4 linked regions of the Saccharomyces cerevisiae S288C genome follow. The protein of the gene in region 4 binds, or shares a complex with, the protein of the main gene of each other region. Each region holds a gene or a part of one and is shown on either strand. Other genes may lie near its edges. A codon is read from its position in the direction of its gene.

Region 1 (2,626 bases), on a different chromosome or scaffold from region 4:
CAACATAAATAACCTTATTATATCTTTATAGTCATCAGTTTTAGATTGCTCCTTTGCATGTGCCGACCTTGCTGATCCTTTAGATATGGGAGAGGCTGAAGGCAGAGAAGTTTCTGGAACTGTTTTGGATGAATTACATCTAAAACTTTGTAAAATTAGTGATTTTCCAACTGCAGGTGACCTTAAACACAACCGACTGAGAGGAATGAGCTGCGATGAAGAAGGGGTGACCAAAGACCGAAACCTTATAGATGGCAGTTTAGCCAGTCGGGGACGGGACAGCATGTTTCTGCATATGCCCAGCCGCAAAAGTGGTAAACGACCATTCAACATTGCGATTGGCGATGATGGGACATATATTTCTTTTTCTTTTAATGCAATGATACAAACTTTATACCACTCTTCGAAGCGGCCAGTATTCAATATCATTGTAGTCATTATTAGTTTCCCGTATAAAAGTACGTAAGTTTTCATACACAGTTGCTAGAATATTTAAAATGTATATCAGCGAGTAAAAAAAGAGCTGCAGTTCCCAGGAAGCGTTAAACTATTTTGTTATTGGAGTGGGTTCAGAAGCTGCAGTGCCATTTTTATATTGGGTATAAAAAGCATCTGTTTGCGATCTGTTAAGAACACTAGCGGTTTGTAATTCAGTTTTCAATGAAGAACGGATAGCCTGAGCGGCCACATTCAAATATGCAGCATATGATATACCAGCTTTCCTCCAGGCAGACATTTTATGAATCGGTTGTGGGCTGAAACTGTTGATGTTTCTTAGAAATACATATCTTGCTAAGTACTCAATAGAAAGGCCTACTTGTATCTCTTCATTTAACTAGACGAAAAAGGGGAGGATCAAATTTCATTGGTTCGTATAAAAGTATTAAAAAATAAGCGCGTTGCCAGACTTAGTGTGAGATAGTAAGCTAGTAAATCATCTGCTATTACCTAGTTTAGCGTATTTCCTAATAAGGATTACCAATTCCTCAAGTTCATGGCTTGGTAAGATACAGCTATAGCTTTCTTAGTTTTTTTCTTCGAGAGAACTAGTACAATGCTTCTATAGAAGTTAAGAAGTTTACCTTTTCGAAGAACAAATATATTGTTGCTTTGCTTACTCCGAGGTTATCGACTATTTTTGGCAATCCGTTTGAACCTGGATAAATACGTAAATCAGACTTTCTTTAGCCGGATCAACTCTTTTTTTTTTGTAAGCACTCTGACTTGTCGCTGCTGTGTCTGCCAATAATTCAATAATTCATAGTATTTCATACCATATGCTTTATTTAGTGTCCCACTGATGTGAGTTGAAGAATTGTATTCAGATAGGCATATCTTAAGGTCCAACTATTGCCACCGTCGTAGTGCGGAAAGGTTGATTATCGAGCGAATTAGAGGAATAAATGCTGCTATGCGCACGATGAGCAAATCGGAAGTAAACCACGCCGCTGATCCACCTGAACAAAAGAATCTCGCGGAGTTACGATTTAATGTAGGTTTGCTCAGATTACGTTACTGATACTTTACTTTGGACAAAAGTTCTCATACAAACTGTGGAAACAACACCGCTTAAACCAACGATTATGAAATGACATGGTCTAAAGTAATATAATCTATATTAGAATGTGCAGATGGCTATGGTATCCATGCGATGGCAAACCTCCGCAATGATTGGCGTTCTAGCGGCTATCCGAATTCACAATCGACAAGAAGTACTTCTAACTTACACAAGGCAACGAAATAATATCACTCTATGAAACTGCCATTTGGGTAATAGGAGTATATTGAACGACACCGGGTCAACAAGCAACTTTCCTAAGCCTTTTACACTTCTTCACATCATTCAAGATCGCCTTTTAACGAGCTACAAACCTTCACGTTCGTTCTTCTATGGAAACGTTTAAGATAACGTTAAAACGTTCTCAATCACAGAATTTAAGATGATTAGAAATGTTTTCCAAGGGATAGGGCGAAGCACAACCTCGAAAAATGGCAAAATTTTAGAATCTTAGCCACCTTAACGTCTACTTAGAGCCTTAGAAAAGCCATCAAGATTGGTGGAATAGTTGTTGAGGGAACTTAGCCGCCACATTCTCGTAGCCAAATAAAGCGAATCTGACCATTGTATGTTTCTTTTTCACTGGTATGATAGCCCAATGTGTTTAAGGAAAGTTAGGACAACACACCCGAAGAAGGACGTCACCCCTGCATTCCCAAACGAGCTATGAAATAGCTCTTTCCTCTACAAGTAATAACAACAACTTTTTTGTCTGTTTTCCGACCGTTTAACTTCAGAGATTAATTTTTTCAACGCGCTTTCGTTGAACGTCGCAAATTCGTTTAGAATAAACGAAAGGTGACAGAAATAGAAGATTATAGCCATGCATACGCACATAAATTGAAAACTGTTTCGAGGCTGAGTATTCCCTGCGTCTGCAGCCATCAGGGGTATGACTCTGCTACACGTTTACTATATTCTTGGCTAAACGATTCATTAACGAAGCGATGAGTAGATCACACTCGGCATACGAGCACAAATTTGTATGGGGGGACGGTCATATATAAAAGGGTGTATACGTTATCCTTGTTATACCTGTCCAAAGAAGTGCATTTGTAACTCACAACA
Region 2 (2,599 bases), on a different chromosome or scaffold from region 4:
AAACAGCGCAGAAAGTATCACTATGTGAGGCCTTGTGGAGCAGAAAATAGGCATAAAATATGATGCTGCATGATTTAATCGGACCATATTCAGATATATTTCACAGGTATCTTTCTTTTGTGTAAAGAATACGAGGTATGATTTAAAACGTCAAAGAATGGAAGAGAAATTTTGAATGCGAAGAGATGCTAAGTATATTCTTGGTGTTAGGCTAAGCTTGTTGAAACAAAAAAGAAGGAATTTTGAAATTTCGTATCTTAAGTATGGACTATTGACGTTATTTGGAACTTTTCCATGTTCCACACTGTTCCTATCTTTCTATGCCTTTCCGCATTGGGACGAACTTTGCGCGAAGTGGAAATAATGAGTGACATTAGTCAGACAGACAAGAGGAAAATTCAAACCAGAGGAAAACTAGAATGATAGTTATCGAAAATGCAAAAGCTCAGTGTGATGTATTATTATATAGTTTTTCTGCTGTTTGACTATAAAAGAGTAAGAATATTCTAAAAAAAAAAAAAAAAAAGCTTCTGCGGAAACGCATGATTATTTGGTCATCGAGTCAATTTTATTTTCCAAAGAATCAATCTTCTTTCGTTGTTTTTCCAGTTGTTCTTTCAAATGGCGTAGTTGCTCCTTCTCACGCTGCCTAACGAAGAAGTCTTCCGTGGCCCTTTCCCTTTTAACAAACGAATCCTCTGAGCCTGACCCTCTTGGGGTGCCGGTAGAACCTTCAGAGTAGAACCTTGCGGCCACACCGCGCTGTAATTGCAATGAGCGTGCTAATGCTGAACGTGGTAACATATTCTATTGTGGAACTGTATAAAAGTGTGCTGTAGTAATGCGTGTAAAATGCACTCCTTTGGGATAGCAAAAACAAATTCAACCACGAACAAATTCAAAGAAAGTTTTAAACAAGATACAACAAGTCAAGTTATGAACCCCTCCTTCTCTAACGATTGTTAACGCCTTTTCTAGCCCCAAAACCTCGTTGCAGTGGAAAACGATGGGTGTCAGCAACTAGACAGTTGATTGGCATAATTGTGAATATCTGGATATTTGGTACCCGCAGCAGCCTCCCCTTATTCTGCCGCGAATGCGCGCGTCTGATTGGCCCGGCATCACGGGAGAGTAAATCTTCTTCTTTTAATGCGTATCGGACAAAGTAGATGGGAAAAAACATCATTTAGATATGTAGATGTAGATGCTATATATCGTATGTAATAAGTGAAAGAACATAATGTAATGGTTTGGGAACGTTAGGCGGATGGCTTAGTCCGCTTGGCGGCGGGGATGGTGGCCAGTTCCGGTACATCGCTGTCATTCTTCTTGTTCTTTTTTGCAGATAGTACTTGAGGAGTGCTGACCTCTGCGTGGAAGTTCTTGATGATAGAGTCAACATCATCGATATTCAGCGATCTGACATCACCCAGCTTCTTAATCTTAGCAGTAACTTCCTTGATTTGGTCATCCGTCAAGTTCAAGTTCAACTGGTCGACTCTGGCTTTGATGGCGTTCCAGCCAGTTAGTCTGTTGGCGAAGTGGATATACCTCTTCATACCGAAATCGTGAGGGTCCAAGATTTCGTAGGTAGATGGGTTAGCCAAAATGGCCTTGGCATGGATACCTGCTTTATGTGTGAATGCACAGAACCCGGTGATAGGGTTGTTGAATGGAATGTTAACTTCCACAGCATCAGCGACCAGGTTTTCAATGTCTCTGATCTTGTGCAACTTGTATTTGGACTTGACATAGTCTGGTGCGGCAACAATCATTCTTGCCATGAGCCCACCTAGAGGAGTGATACCGTTTCTTTCACCAATACCCAGTACACTGACGTCAATCAATCTGGCACCACCTTCCAAAGCAGTGTAGGCGTTTGCAATGGCACAACCAGTATCGTTGTGGAAATGGCATTCGATGTCACATGAAACAACACTCTTCAAAGTTCTGATCAGTTCATATACTTGTCTTGGGTTGGCACATCCAACTGTGTCGGCAATACCGACTCTATTTACACCGATCTTGTCAACGGTTTTATAAATGTTCAAAAGATCAACGAGATCACTTCTGAAGGAATCTTCAGAGGAAAATCTGATTTCAATACCTTTGGATTTGACAAATTCAATGACTTCAACAGCACTCTTGGCGATGTAGTTCATATCCTTACCGTGGGAATATTGTCTTAAAAATTTGGAGGTGCCGATAACGACATCGACACCGTCGACACCAGTCTCTACGGCGACTTTGGCGTCATCCATATGACAACGAATGTGTGTAAGGATCTTGGCCTTTAAACCTAGTTTACATATAGCTTCACAGTCCTTTCTTGATTGTTCAGATGCTACTGGTGAGGTTAACTCGATGTAGTCCACACCGAAATCGTCCAAGGCTCTAGCAATTTCGATCTTTTTTTCAGTATCGAAGAATGCGTTGGCAAATTGTTCACCTTCTCTCAGCGTCGAATCGATTAACTGGAAATTATTTACATTAGAAAGATAGTCGCCCGGTTTGGCAGCATATGGATTTGGTTTAGCAGCAGTCATCTTTAGGAAAACAATACAGGGTCCTTCCTTTGTTTGTTATGTAGATAAGAAAC
Region 3 (2,661 bases), on a different chromosome or scaffold from region 4:
TTATCCTTGCCGTTCTTGGTGCTATTGATATTATTATTTATGTTGTTTTCAATAGAAGAAATATTTATGTCATTGTAGTTGTTACCTGAGTCATTATCGTCAAAGCCTTTGGTTTCGTCCACCGTGGCATTGAAGGCTGTGGAGTCAAAACCAGTACTGTCAAGGCCTGAAAACATCGAAATATCCATAGAGTTTAAATCGTTGAACATTACATCCGAGGGTTGGGCCTGCTGGCTTTGGATTCGAGTAGTGGTTAAGGGAGAAAATGCGGCACCGTTATTAGCAGCATTTGCGTTCTCAAGTTGTGTTTGACTGGATGATTGAAGAGATCCAAGTTCTTGATAATTCTCTTTGGAACCGTTGGCATCCGTTGTGTTCGCAGGTGCTGTTGTGGAGAAGTTCAAACCAAGGCCATTTTTTTCCTTTGAATTTTGCTGGAGTTGCTGCTGTTGGGAGGCTTCTTCGAGTTCTTGTCGCTTTTTTAATTCTTCTTGTTCTCTAACCTTCCTCATATTTTCTTGTTCAGCCCTCTTTTTTTCAGCTTCCTCTCTTTCTTTCTCCTTTTCTTTTCCGAGTGCAGTAAGAGTTTCTAAATATGAAGAACTCTGGCTTAGAGAAGTCTCTAAATCATCTAAAATTCCATGAAATAATTTAACCTTCTCTTTCAATAATTTTTGCTGAGATTGACTGAAACCATTGACGAGATAAGAATCTAGTTGTACATTTTTTAACTGTTGTTGCATCATCATTTCTGCTCCAACTTTTAGGATGTCATCGAAGCAAACAGTAAGCTTATTTTTATACGTCATTGTTCTGGTATTGCTCCCCCGTTCAGAGAAATTGGCTGTGTGAACAGACGAAACTGGGCTATTTTGTACTACCATTACTTTCAGACGGGCAGTTTATTTGGGAGGATCCGCCTTCAAATTTAAACTATCTTGAGACCAGAACATCTATTGAAATTTTGGTGAATATTCCAGCAACCCTCTCTATCCCGCTTTGAATTTCTTGATGTCATTGGAAACATTTAACTTTTCTCGTTACAAGCGGGTAATATCCTAATCATTGTAATTAAGACGTTGCTTCCCTGGGAAGAAAATAGTATAAACATAAGATATAATAGTTTTTAAAATGGTCAACGTATGCGATGCACAACTAAAAGGTACCAATTCATTAAATATTATAATATTTACTTCTTACTATTACACGAAAGACAAGTGTGAAATGCCTAGGAGATTGATGATTGACAAGCTCTGGCCTTGCAATAAAAATACTTATACACAACTTCAAATAATATAGAAAAGAAAGAAGACTATAAGCTAAAAATGTAGACAACCTCATTTAAATATTATTCTTAGGACTTGGTAATAATAGCTAATTTGTATATTATTCACCTCGGTCACCGCCTGTAATCACCTTTAACGAAAATAGATGCCCAGCCAATCAAAGCGCATTATGGAGTCGTCTAGGAAGGGGCCGTCCCATCATTGTAAAAGTTCATGTTAAATTAGATGGAGGATAACAATAAAGGTATCGTACACACACTGCTAAAAGAGCCTCAATCAATTTGTGAAGGTATAACTGTAGCCGTGAGGATAGGAAAATGTTACGTTCAATTATTGGAAAGAGTGCATCAAGATCATTGAATTTCGTCGCTAAGCGTTCATATGCAGAAGCTGCTGCCGCATCATCAGGTTTGAAGTTACAATTTGCTCTACCACACGAAACTTTATATAGTGGCTCCGAAGTTACTCAAGTGAACCTGCCTGCTAAGTCAGGACGTATTGGTGTATTGGCCAACCATGTTCCCACCGTTGAACAATTACTACCAGGTGTCGTTGAAGTTATGGAAGGCTCTAACTCTAAAAAATTCTTTATATCAGGTGGATTTGCAACAGTTCAACCAGACTCGCAGTTATGTGTAACTGCAATTGAAGCTTTTCCATTGGAATCCTTTTCACAAGAAAATATAAAAAATTTGTTGGCAGAAGCTAAGAAGAACGTTAGTTCATCTGATGCCAGGGAAGCCGCAGAAGCTGCAATTCAAGTAGAAGTTTTAGAAAACCTACAATCCGTATTGAAATAGCGTTTTTATGGTACGCATTCTAGAACTTGAGGGGAAGAAGTCTACGTTTTTAAGTGTTGACAAGCAATTCGCTTGAAAGCGCCAAAATTCATTGTTTGTTCTACTCGAATTTAAGTTTCCATTTTGGTTGATGTCTTAAGTATACAGAGAAACCGTTTATTAGCGTATATATACAGAAAATTTTATTATTTTATATTCAAAAACAAGAAAACAAAAGAGAAAACATTAACATGTAATTTTCATAACTAATAGTCCTAGAAAGTAATACTTTTTACAACTGTTTCTTTAAATCCTGTATGAAAGCCCTAGTTGCAGATCATCGTGTTATTCCAGTGAGTTTTCACTTCCCTAAGTCCTTCCTATTTATGTTTTAGTCCTTCTTGCACAGCAATTTTACTTCGGGCACTGTTGCCGTATATTCTAAAAAAATGAAAAAAACGTTCATGCCCCAGCGAAAACCAGTGTTTCCTCGTATTCGTGTCAGTAATTACACCAAAGTTTGTTCTACACTAAATCACGAATAAAGTGGGAGATTGAGTTCAACAAAATATCTGATTATAAAAGTATGAGAACAA
Region 4 (3,126 bases):
AAATATTCTGGGCATACGCTTGGTAAAAAACCAAATCATTGAGATTGCGACCATTTTTTTTTTTTTTTTTTTGTTTGTTTGTTTGTTTGTTTACTATAATTTCTTCTACCAAAGACAAGCAAGAACCTGAGATAAAAAACATTTAACAGACATTTTACAAATATATACCAATGTCTTTGTTATTTCAACAGCACTATATATTGTTTTCATTTTCTTGGTTCGTTTCATTGCTACTTAGCCATATTTTTTTTAACTGACACATACATGAAACCATCATAATCTTAATGGGAAAAAATCCTAAAGCGAGAAGGACTTTCAAAAAAAAAAAGTTTTAAAAATGTTATAATTTTTGTATTTTACCTGAATATATAGTAGTGTTTAGTATTTATTATCTTTCCTTTTCTATTTAAGGTATTCTTTGGATATATACTTCGTCTCATCAAGTCAAAATTCGTTTCATGTTCTACAAAAACAACGTCAAATAAAGAGGCAATGCAGGGTGATTTTTTTATCATCCCAAAGAGGAAGCACCAGTAATAATATCAACCAGTTCATTAGTAATGACAGCTTGTCTTGTTCTGTTGTACAAGATAGAGTAACGATTGATCATATCACCGGCATTCTTGGAAGCGTTATCCATAGCGTTTCTTCTGGCGGAAATTTCAGCAGCATAACCTTGAGCCATTGCTGTCAACATTTGGTTAGCCAAAGTATATTCAAACAAATCTCTTGGAACGTTTGCGTCCGTGTCGATCTCAAATTTGCCGAATGATGGGGATTGTTCAATGGTCTTGGCGTTAAAGATCGGTTTTTCAGATGGTTCAAAAGATAGGGAAGACACTGGGTCATTGTAGAAAATGGAAATCTTTGGGTAAGTGCCGGCCTTCATGACACTCAATAACTTATCGGCAATCAAAGCAGATTCTTGGAAAGTTGGGGCATCTTTACCAATTCCATTAATAGACAATTTAATGTTGTTAGGATGGGTTCTCAATAGCTGCATTTTAATTTTATCACCAATAGTGACTATATCGGCGTTTGGTTGATCATTCAAATGTCTTCTCACAGCTTTAGCCAATTGAGAGTGGATAGAACCACACAACCCCTTATCAGAGGTGATAGCAACAATCAACTCTTTAGGAGCACCTGTTTCAGTAGCCTCAACATCCAAATTTTTGGTTTCGGCGTTCTTGTAAAACAACTGCTCTGCTTCATCCATCTTCTTTGCGGAAATTTTAGCCTTTTCAGCTTTACTCAATCTTGTAGATGCAACAATCTTCATAGTTTTTGTGATCTTCTCAATATTTTTGATAGATTTCAAACGCATTTCCACTTCTTTCAAAGTAGCATAAGTTCTCACTGGGTTAGTCTTATAAAGAATACCCACTTGCGCTTGGTGGCACATTACGGAGCGTGTTGCATTGTTTGATACAATTCTTGACAACATGACTACTAAATAAAATAATGTTTACTGCTCGTCTTCAATTGTTTCCACCTGAAATTAACCAAAACGGTTCAGTCTCAATAGTTTCTTATTTGTCTTTTTTAACTGAGTGATAATCATTTAAGCATCTCCCTTCCGGGCCTTCTTTAATCGTTATTGCGGTCCGGGTTCCTCGCGTAGTTACTCGCCGCTCATTGGTTCTCCATCACGTGATAAACATTTCTTCCAAATAAATGAGAACGTTCATTAAATATCGAATAATTCACTTATTATATCTCCATCATATACTTACTAGTTCTAGCGACAGCTCCTATTCATATATCTTCTTACTTTTTTTTTGTTTTATCGACAATTGCTCTACGTTTCGACGTCTAGAAAATGTACTAAAACAGTGCGCTCTCTACCCATAAGGATGAAGAATACGTAATAACAAGAGTTTATTCTCCTTAGTATGTATTTGATAGCACACTCAGAAAGATGAGTTACTACTTGGAAAATCTCAAAAGCTCTTGATGCCCAGCTCATACATAAAAAAACGCCGGAGAACTTTAGCGTCACCAGTTACTGCGACACGGCTTTTAGAGAGGAAAGTAAAGGTCTATGAGTAAAAAGATAGATTATGTTATGCTACATTATATTTGGTATTGAAACATGTATATTATATATAAAAAGTCTAAGAGAGAAATGTCAAAATATCCTAGAAGGTAATGGTTGTCATAACCTGTACATTCTAAAACAGAATGAGAAAAAAGAGGGAATGACGAGAAATTAGCTGAAAAATACTGGCATTAGCCCTTTTTGTGGAAAACATTTGGTAAGTCTAATTTAGAGACTTCCCATGAGCCGCTACCTTCAACTTTATTTCTGTAACTCACTATTATACGCAAGTATTTCATGAACAAAAAGGCCATGGAACCAACCACCCTAAAGGCAGCTAAAGCGGCCACAGACCATAAAATGAATATCAAATAACCATTGTCAGTATCTTGTGGTGTAAAGACTTGAATTATAGACATGATCAGTATTAGATTTGATAGCATCCAAATCATCACAATTCTGGTTCTTATATCTCTATAATAATCATTCTTGGATTGTTTTTCATTGCCGCTTGATTCTTCAAATTCTGGTTCTTTCAAACGACTTTTTATTTCCAAAAACTTCTTATCAACTTCCTGAGGCCAATCTGTTTCCACAATCTGTTTCCCATCTGGACCTTGAACGACAATGGCCTTGGACAATTGCTTGGACTCCTGTGTGGAACCTTTAGTACCCCAGGAAACGTCGTGTGTATTACAGAAGGCAAAAATCTGTAAAGTACACGTAAAGGCGGGAAGTGTCAAAAAGTATTGTATGGATGATGTAAACATGTGCCAAGGATCTAGGTACATCAGTGATGAGAAAAAGTATAGGCCATAGGTGGAGAGCAATGAGATAACGATGTCGACAAATATTTTGTGGGATTCCGTTCCAGAAGCTAACGACTTGAAAGCAAAAACAAACCCACAAATTAGAGAATATGTGGCACATATAGACAGTATAACCATGGAGGTAATGAATAAATGTTTCGCGCCCTGGGGTCTATTACCCATGGAAATAATGAATAAACTTGCCAAGTCACAAAAGATCAGGTATTTAAAAAAAATGAATAAGGCCTCACCATGTTTAATAACTAAATTCATTGA

The links.
Region 1: the proteins of ATP3 (region 4) and ATP15 are in contact, whole or in part, in a cryo-EM structure (PDB 8F29), measured with the Saccharomyces cerevisiae proteins. Residues at the interface, in NP_009595.1 of Saccharomyces cerevisiae: Lys148 (codon at 1,006), Leu152 (codon at 994), Pro156 (codon at 982), Asn157 (codon at 979), Ile159 (codon at 973), Lys160 (codon at 970), Leu161 (codon at 967), Ser162 (codon at 964), Ile163 (codon at 961), Asn164 (codon at 958), Gly165 (codon at 955), Ile166 (codon at 952), Lys168 (codon at 946), Thr172 (codon at 934), Phe173 (codon at 931), Gln174 (codon at 928), Glu175 (codon at 925), Ala177 (codon at 919), Leu178 (codon at 916), Ile179 (codon at 913), Asp181 (codon at 907), Lys182 (codon at 904), Leu184 (codon at 898), Ser185 (codon at 895), Val186 (codon at 892), Met187 (codon at 889), Asn237 (codon at 739), Arg240 (codon at 730), Asp241 (codon at 727), Glu244 (codon at 718); in NP_015052.1 of Saccharomyces cerevisiae: Trp4 (codon at 727), Arg5 (codon at 724), Ile9 (codon at 712), Ser10 (codon at 709), Tyr11 (codon at 706), Ala12 (codon at 703), Ala13 (codon at 700), Leu15 (codon at 694), Asn16 (codon at 691), Ala19 (codon at 682), Gln20 (codon at 679), Asn37 (codon at 628), Arg38 (codon at 625), Gln40 (codon at 619), Thr41 (codon at 616), Asp42 (codon at 613), Ala43 (codon at 610), Phe44 (codon at 607), Tyr45 (codon at 604), Thr46 (codon at 601), Gln47 (codon at 598), Tyr48 (codon at 595), Lys49 (codon at 592), Asn50 (codon at 589), Thr52 (codon at 583), Pro57 (codon at 568), Ile60 (codon at 559).
Region 2: the proteins of ATP3 (region 4) and INH1 are in contact, whole or in part, in a crystal structure (PDB 3ZIA), measured with the Saccharomyces cerevisiae proteins. Residues at the interface, in NP_009595.1 of Saccharomyces cerevisiae: Met41 (codon at 1,327), Arg42 (codon at 1,324), Lys44 (codon at 1,318), Ser45 (codon at 1,315), Asn48 (codon at 1,306), Ile49 (codon at 1,303); in NP_010100.1 of Saccharomyces cerevisiae: Ser23 (codon at 738), Ser26 (codon at 729), Thr27 (codon at 726), Arg31 (codon at 714), Asp37 (codon at 696), Phe39 (codon at 690).
Region 3: the proteins of ATP3 (region 4) and ATP16 are in contact, whole or in part, in a crystal structure (PDB 3FKS), measured with the Saccharomyces cerevisiae proteins. Residues at the interface, in NP_009595.1 of Saccharomyces cerevisiae: Ala70 (codon at 1,240), Ser73 (codon at 1,231), Ala74 (codon at 1,228), Lys76 (codon at 1,222), Met77 (codon at 1,219), Glu79 (codon at 1,213), Ala80 (codon at 1,210), Glu81 (codon at 1,207), Leu83 (codon at 1,201), Phe84 (codon at 1,198), Asn87 (codon at 1,189), Phe173 (codon at 931), Lys229 (codon at 763), Phe230 (codon at 760), Glu231 (codon at 757), Ile232 (codon at 754), Ala236 (codon at 742), Asn237 (codon at 739), Val238 (codon at 736), Asp241 (codon at 727), Leu242 (codon at 724), Tyr245 (codon at 715), Leu252 (codon at 694); in NP_010280.1 of Saccharomyces cerevisiae: Gln35 (codon at 1,706), Ala37 (codon at 1,712), Leu38 (codon at 1,715), Pro39 (codon at 1,718), His40 (codon at 1,721), Glu41 (codon at 1,724), Thr42 (codon at 1,727), Ser45 (codon at 1,736), Lys57 (codon at 1,772), Val68 (codon at 1,805), Pro69 (codon at 1,808), Thr70 (codon at 1,811), Val71 (codon at 1,814), Gln73 (codon at 1,820), Gly94 (codon at 1,883), Gly95 (codon at 1,886), Phe96 (codon at 1,889), Thr98 (codon at 1,895), Val99 (codon at 1,898), Gln100 (codon at 1,901), Pro101 (codon at 1,904), Asp102 (codon at 1,907), Gln104 (codon at 1,913), Cys106 (codon at 1,919), Thr108 (codon at 1,925), Ala109 (codon at 1,928), Ile110 (codon at 1,931).

What each region holds. Positions count from the first base shown.
Region 1 is NC_001148.4:28,189-30,814, reverse strand, and holds ATP15 (F1F0 ATP synthase subunit epsilon), read right to left. Parts: upstream 737-2,626; coding exon 548-736; downstream 1-547. Other genes in the region: ATP-binding cassette permease MDL2, read right to left, coding at 1-333. UniProt on the Saccharomyces cerevisiae protein: Mitochondrial membrane ATP synthase (F(1)F(0) ATP synthase or Complex V) produces ATP from ADP in the presence of a proton gradient across the membrane which is generated by electron transport complexes of the respiratory chain.
Region 2 is NC_001136.10:133,384-135,982, reverse strand, and holds INH1 (ATPase inhibitor), read right to left. Parts: upstream 805-2,599; coding exon 547-804; downstream 1-546. Other genes in the region: AIT1 (Ait1p), read right to left, coding at 1-87; homocitrate synthase LYS20, read right to left, coding at 1,260-2,546. UniProt on the Saccharomyces cerevisiae protein: Endogenous ATPase inhibitor, which inhibits specifically the reverse ATPase reaction of mitochondrial F(1)F(0)-type ATP synthase.
Region 3 is NC_001136.10:441,426-444,086, forward strand, and holds ATP16 (F1F0 ATP synthase subunit delta), read left to right. Parts: upstream 1-1,603; coding exon 1,604-2,086; downstream 2,087-2,661. Other genes in the region: MED2 (Med2p), read right to left, coding at 1-884. UniProt on the Saccharomyces cerevisiae protein: Mitochondrial membrane ATP synthase (F(1)F(0) ATP synthase or Complex V) produces ATP from ADP in the presence of a proton gradient across the membrane which is generated by electron transport complexes of the respiratory chain.
Region 4 is NC_001134.8:313,896-317,021, reverse strand, and holds ATP3 (F1F0 ATP synthase subunit gamma), read right to left. Parts: upstream 1,448-3,126; coding exon 512-1,447; downstream 1-511. Other genes in the region: FIG1 (Fig1p), read right to left, coding at 1-54; chitin synthase CHS2, read right to left, coding at 2,233-3,126. UniProt on the Saccharomyces cerevisiae protein: Mitochondrial membrane ATP synthase (F(1)F(0) ATP synthase or Complex V) produces ATP from ADP in the presence of a proton gradient across the membrane which is generated by electron transport complexes of the respiratory chain.